2 linked regions of the Coturnix japonica genome follow. The protein of the gene in region 1 binds, or shares a complex with, the protein of each later gene. Links are inferred from orthologs where the notes say so. Each region holds a gene or a part of one and is shown on either strand. Other genes may lie near its edges.

The links.
Region 2: the proteins of PTPN22 (region 1) and PSTPIP1 are in contact, whole or in part, in a crystal structure (PDB 7AAM), measured with the Homo sapiens proteins. The link is inferred for Coturnix japonica from reciprocal best matches to the Homo sapiens genes PTPN22 and PSTPIP1. Residues at the interface, in NP_057051.4 of Homo sapiens: Ser793, Lys794, Pro795, Gly797, Pro798, Arg799, Asn800, Pro801, Pro802, Trp805, Asn806; in NP_003969.2 of Homo sapiens: Thr225, Arg228, Asn229, Trp232, Asn236, Ser239, Met240, Cys242, Val243, Asp246.

The regions. Positions count from the first base shown.
Region 1 is NC_029541.1:3,781,246-3,787,605, reverse strand, and holds the end of PTPN22 (tyrosine-protein phosphatase non-receptor type 22), read left to right. Parts: coding exon 1-57; intron 58-585; coding exon 586-678; intron 679-1,212; coding exon 1,213-1,289; intron 1,290-1,622; coding exon 1,623-2,347; intron 2,348-2,495; coding exon 2,496-2,579; intron 2,580-2,663; coding exon 2,664-2,794; intron 2,795-2,880; coding exon 2,881-2,908; intron 2,909-3,052; coding exon 3,053-3,133; intron 3,134-3,231; coding exon 3,232-3,338; intron 3,339-3,445; coding exon 3,446-3,476; intron 3,477-3,624; coding exon 3,625-3,702; intron 3,703-3,858; coding exon 3,859-3,923; 3' UTR 3,924-4,590; downstream 4,591-6,360. Other genes in the region: RSBN1 (lysine-specific demethylase 9), read left to right, coding at 4,912-5,365. UniProt on the Homo sapiens protein: Acts as a negative regulator of T-cell receptor (TCR) signaling by direct dephosphorylation of the Src family kinases LCK and FYN, ITAMs of the TCRz/CD3 complex, as well as ZAP70, VAV, VCP and other key signaling molecules.
Region 2 is NC_029525.1:2,412,972-2,419,331, reverse strand, and holds part of PSTPIP1 (proline-serine-threonine phosphatase-interacting protein 1), read left to right. Parts: intron 1-1,378; coding exon 1,379-1,460; intron 1,461-3,091; coding exon 3,092-3,162; intron 3,163-5,065; coding exon 5,066-5,163; intron 5,164-6,360. UniProt on the Homo sapiens protein: Involved in regulation of the actin cytoskeleton. May regulate WAS actin-bundling activity. Bridges the interaction between ABL1 and PTPN18 leading to ABL1 dephosphorylation.

The sequences.
Region 1 (6,360 bases):
ATATTCAGCCTGATCCAGGAGATGCGCACACAAAGGCCTTCGATAGTGCAGACCAAGGTAAATGCTGGCTACTGGAATACCACCAGAACTGAAACCTCAGCACCTCCCCAGGAGGGCTCACAGTAAGGGAGCACAGAATGGCTGCAGGGCTGGGAACTGAGGGTGCAGTTGTTCCGTAAGGTCCCTTTTCTGAGCAGAGGAATGATTTTGCAGAAACGAATTTCTGACCACTTCTCTGTAGGCAGCTGTGATAGTTTAATGCTTGCAGAGCCATTTTTTGAACCCTTAATGCTGTGAAACAAACGGCCATCTAGGAAATAAAGTGGAAACTCTTCTCAACTGAGAGCGATTGAAGAGGAAGCTCAGTGCAGAACAGAGCTGTGTGAGCAGCTAACAGAAAAAAACCAAATGCTTTGGTCTCAACCCCGTGGAAACTGCAGCTTCTATTTCTTCTGAGAACTTGTCCTGCCACCAGACCACAAAGTGGCAGCTTCTCACAGGGGCTGATGTTTGATTTGGGTGATAGGTGACCAGGGGTGACTTGTATTGTATTGGTTTTCACGTCTCTTTATTTGTTGAGTGCAGGAGCAGTACAAGCTGGTTTACAATGCTGTCATTGAGCTCTTCAAAAGACAGATTGAAGCATTGGATGCTCAGGAAGATTCTGCTTCTTCACAGGTAAAAGCCACTAGGACAAACACGCAGCCTCTTGCGGCCTGAGGCACAGCAGGTTTAACCTCCTATTGCAGAATGGAATACATCACATTTTGCCCTATTTATTCATAATTCTATTAGAACAGAAGCCTCCAATTCACTGAGGTGTTTATGTGGCCCCTGGTTCCTCACCTGCCATTTCATCTTGTGAAAAGCCATGTCAAAGTATTTCAAATCTCATGCACTTCTGAGGGAGAATGTGAAGTTACGTAAACAGGAACAGCCCCAACACCAACAGCTTCTCCTTATTCTCTGGCTGCAGACACAAGCGTTACGTTGCCTCTGTAGCTGTCTGCAGTCTTGTAGAAATGAAGAAGTTAAGAATTGCCACTCTTAAGTAAAGGCTGAAAAGTGCCAAATTGACGTTTCCAAACTGGTGTTTGTCATTCCCAAACTCTGTTAATCATTACAAATAGTTGGCAGAAGTTCTGTCTCCTGAAATAGCCCGTTTGTGCTCTTTGCATTCTTTTTCTACACTCTCTCGCTTTCTTCCATCAGGTTCTAACAAGGCATCCTGTACCCAAGCCACTGCTGACCCCTGTGGAAGATATTTATTCTCTGAGTTTGCTGACCTGGTAAGGTCACCACCCAAGTGTCCCTTGTATTTTCAGTTACCTCTATTATTTCAGGAAGATGCACTTTTCCTGTGTATCTTGTGGGATCATAGAATCACCATGGTTGGAAAACACCACTAGGACTGCTCTAGCTGCCTAAAGGGTCCTCCTGTGTTCCCCATTTAATGGTAGCCAAACAGGGCTTCCCTGTAGCTCCATGTTGAACTGGGCAGGCTCTGTGTTCCCAGAGGACTGATCTGCCCTTATAAGCAATGCTCCGGGGCCTTGTTAATGGGCTAACAGATCCCTGAGTGCTTGATGCCTCTGACTTCACGCTGCCATGCTTTGTTGCAGCTTGGGACAAGAGGACCAAGATGTGCACCAATATATTCCTCCATTGGTACAAAATGAAGCACCGCTGACATCCCTGTCTGCCACAGCAGCACGGGGCAGCTCTGGGGACAGAGGCCCTTCCATCAGACCAGCGGTCTCTGTTGGCACTCTGAACATCAGCAGCACCAGACATGCAGCTGCTGTCAAGATGTGGAGTGCAGGAGAAGCCCTTCAGAAGCACCGCAGTGTGCAGCTCAGCAGCAGGTCCTCTGAGCAGCTGCTGCTGGACCAGGAGCTGCAGGGAACAGGCAGGAGAGGGGCCCACGGCAAAGTACCTCTGGCACGGACCACATCGATACCTTTTGTGCTGCCACAGCAAGGAGAAATCTGGGCTTGTGATGGAGGGATTGCAAAGCCCACCTGGAGTTCTCAGTCACCAAATACCTGCTGCTCAGGCTTCCAGGTGAAGGAGCAGGATGTATTTCTCCCTGTTGAGCTGAACCACTCAAGCCAAGTAGCAGACTGTCCCCCTGGCCACAGGAACTGCAGGCAATGTCCCTACCCGTACTGTTGTTCAGCAGAAGACCCCTACTTCTCTTCACTCTCCCCAGATGAGCCACCATCCCCAGAGCCATCTGTTGGGCAGGATGTGCAGGGCCCTCCTTGCACAGTGCCCACCTCCCCACCGCTCCGGCCTGTGTCCCACCACACTGCCCAGCCAAGCACTGGGAGGACATTGTCACTGAGTAAGTGGAAGTGCTTGGGGGGGACCTCAGGAGGTTTCATCCCACCTTCCATCAGGATTTGGTGCACAAGTCTTACTATTCATATGCCAGAGGTTCTGTTCTCATCTGTGTGTGCCATGCAGTAACCTGCTCACATCTCCTCCTTTAGACATCCTGCCCCAGACAGATGATGATGATCCTCCGCCCCTGCCAGAGCGAACTCCTGAGTCCTTTATTGTGGCCAATGAATCAGGTAAGTGCAGTTAGCAGTAAGTGCAGGGACTGACATCTGCTCTGAGGGCCCTTCATGGGGGATCAGAGCAGTGTTTGTTTCCAGGAGAACTTCCTCTGGCCACCTCAGATTTTCAGCTTCCAGCTAGACATGAAAATACTGGAACCTCTTTGGAGCAGAGCAGTGTGTCTCCCTCAGTGACGTTTAATGACTCAATGAGACTGAGACCAAGTAAGGTAAATTAGTGCAGTTTTATCTCTTCTCCAGCACTATCACTGTGTCAATTTCCTTATTATATACTATCCTTGTTTTTTGTTTCCAGAGTTTGAAGCTTCGGAGCCCACGCTCAGGTAAAGTCACATCCTCTTACTGCACGTTATATGTTTCCTTTAACACAATGGAGGATACAGGGTAGAGTTCTGCAGTCCTTGCATTGAACAGATATATGCATTTTCAAAGGCAGATACACAAACCTCCTGTCTTTGCTTTCCCAGAGACAAACCTGGATTGCTCCGATTCTCCTCCCCCTCTTCCTGAAAGAACCCCGGAGTCGTTCGTTCTCGCTGATGAAGAAAGTAAGTGAGGACTTCTTTCAAAAAGCAGCAATAAAGCACTGAGAGAAGGGAGAGGATTCGTGAATGACCACAGAAAATGTTCTGCTTTATATTCCCAGGTCTGCAGCTTCCCACAAGAAGTTCTACAGCGAGTTCTTGGGACTTGAGTAATAGAGCTTCTGAAACATCATCAAAAGAGCCTGCAAAATGCTTCAGGAGAAGCAAGGTAAGCAAACAACCAGAGCATTTAGAGCAAGGAAACAAGTCTAGTGATGATGCCGAGCTGTCGAATCGTAGACACAACCTTTGTACTTATCTTTTTTTTCCTTGCAGAGTTTGAAAATACTGAAAAACGTGAGAAAAAGTAAGTGCTTTGTGTGCACTGCAGCTGTATGTGTGGCAGCGTGTTCTCCTGTAGGGCTGCAAAAATCCTTTTCATTTCATTTTCATTCAAAATTCTTCATGGAGTTACGAAGATCACTAACTGTGTCAGTGCAACTCTGTGTTTGCAGGTGTCTGTAGCCCATCTTCACTGATAAAACCATCGGAATCTGCACCTTCACATCAGCTGAGCTCTTTCTTTAGTTTTGGTACGTATTCATGATGAAAACAGGCTGTTGCTTCAAGTAAACTACATCATAAATCATGGGATGACAAGCCTTTAAAAAGAAAACAAAACATTATTTCAGGAAATCACACAGTCAATATTTATAGCATGATTAATTTGGTGCATTTTTTCCCCCTAGGCTTTGCAAGTCGATTTATAAAACCAAAAGGCCCAAGAAACCCACCACCAGCATGGAATATTTAGGTGAACCTGATCGATTTGGTGTCACAGAGGAGTGAATATCTCCCGATACGCTGCGATGGCTCATGTCAATAAGGTTCCCATCAGAATGAATACATGTAATACGTTGGATATTTGAGGCACTATTTGCACATCCTTCAACCAAAGCTCTGAAGAACAGAAGGACGCATAGCCACCAGCTGAGCTCTCAATTCACAACAGGGCGGATATCAGGCCCAGGAGCTGATTTTATCCTAACTAATGATCAGATTTGTTGCATCAGGGATTGTATTGACTTTACAAGGGCAGGTTTGAGCTTTGTGAAGGAAAACAGCGATTCCAGCAATGCTCAATGGTGTGGAGGCTCAATGAGGGGCCATGGCCGCCATGTTGCTGTGCCTGTGTTCCACCCCCTGCACTAACAGGGAATCCCCATCTCAAACTGTCCATTTTCCCTCATATTTCACATTTTTTCCCTCATTTGAACCACATTTCTTTGTTATTTCTGCTTAACAAACACCCTGCAGGCCTGGCCCTCACTGAAACCCCCCACAACCATCTGTGAGGCAGGAACACTGAAGGCCATATATCTAAACTGTGGGACGGTGTATTTAATCTAGATGGTGTTTTACGATGTGTGACAAAGGCCGTGTAAATAAATAAAAGTTTATTTATAATAATATAAAATATAATACGTATAATTATATATATAACTGTTATATAATTATATATATAATTATTAAATAAATTAAATAAATATATAATTATATATATATATAAGTATATATATATATATATATAATTTTATTTTTTAAAAATATATTATATATATGTATATATATAAAGGGCCGGAATTCATCTGGAACCGCGGCCCTGAGAGACCGTTGTCTTCCCGCCCTTTTCACTGACGTAACGCAGGGCGCGTCACTGCACCACGCATGCGCCCTCGGCCGGACTACACTTCCCGTCTCCCCTCCTCAAACTACAACTCCTAGGTGGCTCTGCGCGACGCATGCGCAGTGCCGTCTGGCGCTCGGGCCATTTAAATGTGTGTGAGGCAGGCAGTGAAATGGCCGCGCAGGTCGCTGCGGTTCGCGCCGTATCCCGGGCCCCGGAGGAGCCGCCCCCGCTGCCCTCAGGGGAAAGGCCCGGGCGGCCTCGGGGCGGCGGGCGGCGGCGGCGGGCGGCTCCCGGCGATACGGCTGGAGGCAAACGGGCCCGGCTGAACCAAGCGCTGCTGGCTGGGCCCGGCCCGGCGGAGCCGCTGCCCCCGGCCGCTCTGCCCGGCCTGCCCGCCGCCGCCGCCGGGCTGTTCGCCTTCTCCTCGCTCAGTCTACCGCCGCCGCCCGCCGCGCTCGAGGAGCGCCGACACCATCACCACCGGCATCGCCCCGCCGTGCTGCAGCCGCAGAAGGCGAGGCGGGGCAGCCCTGCGGACGGGGCGGCCGGGCGGCCCAGCAAGCGAGGTGAGACGGGAGCGGCCGCCGCTCGCGCTCCCTGCCCGGCCTCGGGTCCCCCCACAACCTCCGAGCCCGGGGCGCTGCGCTCGGCCTCTTTACCCTCTTACCTTACCTTCCTTACCCTGTTCCTTACTGCAAAGACATGGAGATTTTGGAAAGGGCCACGAAGATGATCAGGGGGCTGGAGCACCTCCCCTATGAGGACACGCTGAGGGAGTTGGGTTTGTTCAGCCTGGAGAAGGTTGCGGGGTGACCTCATTGCAGCCTTTCAATACCTGAAGGGAACTTACTCTTCCCTTAAACTCTTGGAAAGGGCTGATAATAGCAGGACACGGGGAAATGGTTTGAAGTTAAAAGAGGGAAGATTTAGGTTGGATGTTAGGGGGAAGTTCTTCACTAGGAGAGTGGTTAGGCCCTGGAACAGGCTGCACAGGGAGGTTGTGGATGCCCCATCCTTGGAGGTGTTCAAGGCCAGGTTGGACGGGGCCATTGGCAACCTGATCTAGTAAAGGTGTATGTTTGGTGGCCCTGCCAGGCAGGGGGGTTGGAACTACATGATCCTTGAGGTCCCTTCCAACCCGGGTCATTCTGTGATTCCTCGGGGGGAAAGGTGGGAGACGAGCTACGGCCCAGCCCAGTACTCACCTATGGACGGTGCAACGCCAAGCTGTGGCTGCTGCTGTTCGGAGCTGCCCTCGGAGCACGACTGCTTCGATAGCAAAGCCTTGTTCTCTTGGGCTTTGCTTTACCTGAACTGAGATGCAGCTTTTTTACTTCTAACTAAATGCCTCAGGTCCGCAGTTAAGAATCGCTATTTAAGGTCTTATGTAGTGCAAGCTCAGTGTCTCACAGGTTAATGGTAGTAAAATGCTTCTTGGGAGGAGTGTGGATGGGATGGTAGCACAAAGGCAGCTGTAGTGAGGATGATACCCTGAGTTCTGCTTCAGGAATAGATATGACAAGGAAAGCTGGAATGCAGGTGCTTACAGGTCTGAAGTGTA
Region 2 (6,360 bases), on another chromosome or scaffold:
TCATTTTATGCACACAGTTCTTGGCTATGTCAGGACTCATTTCTAATAAGAAAGAGGTGGGAAAAAACACTTGAGAGCTTTATCAAATGCAAAGAAACAATTGATTCTTGGTTTGGTTTCTTTTCGTTGTTGCTTTTTGGTGTTTTTTTCTGCCACCTTCTAGAAGGTGATGTTCTGGAAGTGATGCCCCAGTACCTCTACAGCTCTTGTTAATGAGTTTGCACAGCAAAACCCATGTGTGGTTTTGTATTGTGTAGAGGTAGATCTTTACCCTGACCAACCTTTTGGTTTCTTGATGCTGTCGCTCTCTCTTCTACCTAGTCAAGTCATGAACTACAGGCTAAAAACTACAGCAGGAGAAAGTCTGGAAGGGTAAGAAACACAGACTCTTAAAATGGTAAAAAAAAAGAATAATCCTTTAATACCATGAGTCTCTGTTGTAGGAGTTCTTTGCACTCACTATTGTATGTGCCTGCTCTGTTTATGGTCTTGGCTAGTCCAGCATGAAAACATCAACACAACCTTTAGTCTAAGTTCAAAATCTTACTTAATTACCTGGTATCAGAACTGAGATAATAGGTTATCAGGGCTTCCAAGTCAGATTTGACTCATATTTGTTTGACTTTCACACTGAGAAGGTTTCTGACTACCAGCTCTAAGCTACTGCACTGGCAGCTGTAAGATGAAAAATAAATCCATCTGTAACTATTTCATCTGTAAAGCTAGATTTGTAAATAAGCTCAATTTCACCCTCAACCACACCATAGGGGAGAGGGAAGGGACTGTAACATAACTGCGTTCAAGAGAAGAAAAACAATCAATTGCTGAGTAAAAAGCAAATCAGCTCTCAGGAGGTGGAGGTGAAGATACAAAAGGTAAGAAGCCACACACAGGCACAGAGCAGGACATTTCTCACTATTGCTGCTCCCAAAGACTTTCAGAAATTTCCCCAGCTCCAACAGAAATTCTCAGCTCAACATGTTATGGAAAAAACAAAACAAAACAAAACATTGCCACCAACTGCATCAGGAGCACAGTCACAGGCTCACAGTGACCATGCTCTGCTCCCCTTAAAGTAGGGGCTTCAAGAAAACAGGGGAAACAATCATGGGCTAAACTACATTCTGAATTAGGATCTCTCACTGTTGTTGCAATGGCTCCTCACGACTTTGACTGTGCTTGTGCCAGGACAAGAACGCCCTTCCACCAACAAGGCATCTGCACACAAGCACTTGAAAGGCTTTTGTCAAGCACCTACATCCCCCTGAGATGCCCCAAACATGTTACTATTCTGCTATTCTGTTGGCTGCACTCTGATTGAGAGAAATAGGTTTTGCCTGATTGAACATCTCCTTTTTCTTTTGTTGCCCTACTGCAGGTGCAATAGGATATGAGAACTACTACGACAGAGAACCAAACAGAAGCAACAGCCCAACCCAGACCTGTGGGATGATGAAGAGGTAAGTGATGAATTTTCATTCCCAGACGTACTACTTCTCAGTGTATGATGATGGCACAGGGGTTGGAACTAGATGATCTTTAAGATCCCTTTCAACCTAAGCCATTCTGTGAGTCTATGTTTCTGTGACAGTAAACGGGACCTGGATAGTTACTTCTTCTTTCACTGTAGCAAGAGACAGCTGCATAGAAATAAAACTAACTCGAGAGAAGAAGTAAACCCATTAAAGCTGGAGTCAGAGCCATTTTGCCTTGGCCTAGTGGGAAGAGAGACAAGAGGACAAGTTCATAAAACAGTCTGCTGGCAATAGAGAGCATTCACACTTATTTCCTCTTTCCTAGTGAGTCATGGCACACAGCATCAAAAGCACTCTGTGCAAGGGAGGGCAAAGGTGAGCCTTGCTGGGAGCCAGGGCTGGGGAGAGCTGTCCTTTTCAGCAATGCCTCCTGGCTTAGTGCATTGCGATGCCCAGCTGGGAACAACAAAGAGCTGCTGTCTCTTTCTAGACCAAAAGAAAAAATACTTAGTGGAATAACTGTGATGATAAGGGAGGTGCTTTTCTTTTTCTAATCCATTTAAGCTGGTAAATATAGTAATATGAATGCAGTTATATCAGCGGAACAGCACGGTAGAGCTATTGGTTTAAATATTTTATACTAAAATGGCTAATTCATGGCAGAAATGGCATCATATTTAAAAGCAGGAGAGCTTTGTAGTTTGGCAAGTCTTATTTTATGGCAAAGACAAAGAGGGGGCTGAGATCTCCCATTTAAAACGTGGGCCAGGCTTGTTAGCGAGCTGATAAGGTTTATACACAATATTTGGTTCCCTGTTGGAAACAAGATTTTATATAATAATGAATCCTAACATTGCAGCCTCTGCAATTACAGAAGACAATTGTATGGCCATTTAGAATACAGCTGTGCCCAGCAGGAGCAAACAGCCTTCAGAGGCTCAGCCTCAGTTTTTGAGAACTCATTGAGCTTAGAAATCCATTTTCCTGAATCACTGACCATTCACCAGCTGAAAAATCAAACCCTCGATGTACATCTTAAGCACTCCATACTACTGCTACCTACACTTATATCCTAAACCATCTTCTCGCTTGGCCTGGTCACCAGTTCCCAGCCAGAATCCAGCTGTGATATAGAAAACAACTAGGTGAGATTAAAAAATAAATAAATAAAGGAAACAAAAGTATTTCACTTAAATTCACTATTTCTAGAAAGGTATGTTAGAAAGGCTTTGTATTTTGAATTGCATTGGTTTTCCCTAAAGGAATTGTATTCTTTTGTAAACAACTGAGAATTCTCATCGTATCGATAGAATGAGATGATTGGAATTCTGTTTCATGAGTCTCTGGATCCACAACACAATATTGTGTGATGCATTTAGTGCATCAATTTAGCGATGACCAGCAGTTCATCTGGTTCGGTTATTTTCTAAGGTTTTTTTTTTCTTAGATTTTACTTTAACTGAAGGTAAGAGTATCTATAGATAAAGGAAAGCAGATGACCATGGGAAGGGATGACATCCATGTAAGGTCAAGGGGGAAGGTTAAGTCTGACAGCTGAGTCTTGTAAGAAATGCCCTGCTCACTCATTTTGTCATTGACTTCTCTTGGTTCTGCAGATTCTCTGGACTGTTGCATGGAAGCAGCAAAAACAACACTGAAAGCGTCATTCCTTCAGCCCCTCCTTTAGGTATGCCTCACCAGGGAGTAAATTCACCAGATGTGTTTAACATCACTTGCTAAGTCCAGCTTTAACACAGAGCAGAACTACAGCACACGTTCACATGATGTCAGGCAAGAGAACGAGCAGATCGAAAACAAATTCAGCTCAGATTTCCCAGTCTGAAGTACTAAATAATCTATATAACCTTAGGGCCATAAGAACCTCAAGACCTCTATCTGGGTAAGGGCACACTGTGCTTTCAGACCAATGCAGTTTTAGTAAAGATAATAGTATTCTCCTTACGTTGGATATGCTACCTCTAAAAAGCACAAGGGAATCCCTGAAGTCTTTAACACACCTGCCTCATGCCTTATGAATACAAATATTCATCTCATTTCACACTTGGACTGCATTATCACAACCCGTGCACTCAGGCATTTATCAGTAGGGCATTTAAAACAGTATTTTGATCATGCAGAAAGCAGCAGCTTACAGCATTTTTATTGATTTAAACCCGAAACATTTGAACTGAGATTGCTGCCTACAGGAAATCAAAAAGTTCCTTTAAAACAGCTTTTAAACATACTCAGGTCAATTTCCTTTGCAAGGCCTGCCTTGCCTGCTTGGATGCCCAGTAATGAGGCTGCAGCTACCCCACTTGCTGCATTTAGTGCTCAGGAAGCACAGTCTCTCTGGAGCTATCAGGCACCAGCTGGACCTGCCAGGCCCCAGCTGCCTAACTCAGCATGCAGCAGCATCCACATACACACAGCCTGAAGGCATTTGGTCTCTTGCAGAGCTGTGTAACGACTACATACAGGAAAAACTTACCAGAAATAGACAACAATATTACATCAAATGCTGGATTTAACAGCAGATCTCGACTTTATCCAAGTAAACAGCATCTGTGGTGGTACCTTATGCTCAAGCCTGGTATAATAATCTCCCTCTAACTGCAGAAAAAGCCCTGCTGGCTGTCCATCTCTCATTCAGACATAGTGTGGAGCCCAAGTAGACCTTGCTGCTCATTTAGCACACCACAGTCATCACATTTTGGAAACCACTTAAGGCAGTGTTTTCACCTGGGCTGACATACCAGGTTGTGAGCATGTAATTAGAGCCTGCTCTCCCCTTCATCTTTAGCCAGCCCTGAAGGGTTGGACTGCTCACACCACGGCTGCCCTTCTCTTCCCCACACAGCCCCACTGAAAGCAAAGATGTGCTTGGGAAGTACACGAGAGCAGCTCTAGCCTGGACTACTGTGTCAGCACAACAGCATCCACAGCAGCAAGGCTTTGGTACTTCCATTTTACCACCGTGGTTACGCCATGAGCACTAGAACAGCACAAGAGACCCAGGTGGTTCTTTTCAATAGGGCTAGCTCTGTCTCTTCCTGAATCACAGTTTTCCTACATAATGACAAGCCGGTTTAAAATATCCTCCAGCAAAGTCCCATCTGTGACAAACAGCTAAATGGAAACTATGTGAACTAATGGAAAATGTCTGATGACCCACCACACCAGCACGGTATTTTCCACTTTTCTTAAAGGAAAAACCTCTGCATGAATCACTGAACTGCCAGAATCTCACATCTCCAGTAGCAAACAGTTTACACCAGTTTACTCACAGTACTTCCTTCTCTGCACTTCTGTGGTCGTGCTTTAGCAGGGTAAACATCTTTCCCAACCTGGATGAAGCTAATGCTCCTGACTTCCCAGAAAGCTCAATGGGGGCACTGTCCCCCAATCAATGGGACACAGTTTTTGTGCAAGAATTTACCTACAGTTCACAGCAGCTTTTCTATACACGTACACCTCCAGACAGAGAGAGAACAGAGACCCTTGTATTTGTGAACTCTTGCGTAAGATCCCATGCATTTATAAGCAACTGAACTATTTGTTTCTGTTTTTCCTTCCCCCCCCCCAATCAGAGAAAGCAGATGGGGTCTACGCATCCATTTTTGTAAATGAACATGAAAGAACTACATCGTCACAGGACTACAGAGTACTGTACGACTACACAGCCCAGGTAAACAAAGACTTCAAACTAAATATTGCACACAGTGTCAGATTTAAAACTGAATGTTGATCTAAACATCTTGAAAGCATCAATTGTGTGAAGGAGTTTTTAAGCTTCCTTTCCTTTTTCAGAGGAGGACGCTTAGAGACTTATTGGCCAGTTGTTGGCACAGATCACTGGACTGTGCTCTCCCCAAGATGAAACAATTACATTCTTTGCAAGTAATTATGCTTGCCTAAATTGGTGCTGAGTTATTTCAACCTCCTAAAGAGTCATGGAAAACTATTTTGGTGATGATGGCCAAATATGCAACACTGAGCATTCTGAACTTAAGTTTCCTGTGAAACGTCCACCCTGGGAAAGAAAGTAGGTAGAGATTTCTCTAATAAACTCTACCGAAGCTTTATAGCAGATCTCAGACTATGTGACAGATGCTTGTCTAAGAACCCTTCTCCACATGATCTCACTTATCGCCTGGAGAGTCCTGCTCCAGTTTAACACACCAGCTTTAACTGATGTCTTCTCCATGCTGGGGAGGACTGAATCCCCAAATTATAGTGTATCCCTGTACTTCAGTGTTGCAAGTTGCAGAATGGACCCAGCCTATGTACCAAGAGTGTTATAAACCACAACCAGCATCCTTAACCTGGATATTAAACCTCACTGGCTTCCAACCTCTCTCAGCATAACACCATTAGTAAGATCACATTAGAGGGCAAACCACTGCACTAAGCATTAAGAACACAGACTCCTCACATGCAGATTTCAAGATGTCTGAAAGAGAGATGACATCATTATTCCTATTATACAGATTACCTTCTAAAACACCAAAAAGGGGGAAAAAAAGGATCAAGTCACAGTGGCTCAGGCCCTTGATGCTTCTAGCGAATAGCTTATTTCACAGCAGCCACAGGTTTCAAAGAATGGCATAAATAAAACATACAGCACATAGGACACCTGCCCCCGCTTTCCACCCCACGATTGTTATAACTTCTTCCAAATCCAGCAATGGCTCTTCAGCCATAACATGAACCTTTAGGTCCTTCCACTGTATTTCTCCTCAGGACTGGTTAAAAACTATTTTCTTCTTCACATTGACTCCTGCTACACCATCAGCCTTCCCTCAAAGAACTGCCGCAGTTTAATTTGTAGGCTTAAAAGTTCCTCCACTGGCCACCGTTGTTTGTTATTAAAAGAACTAAGGGT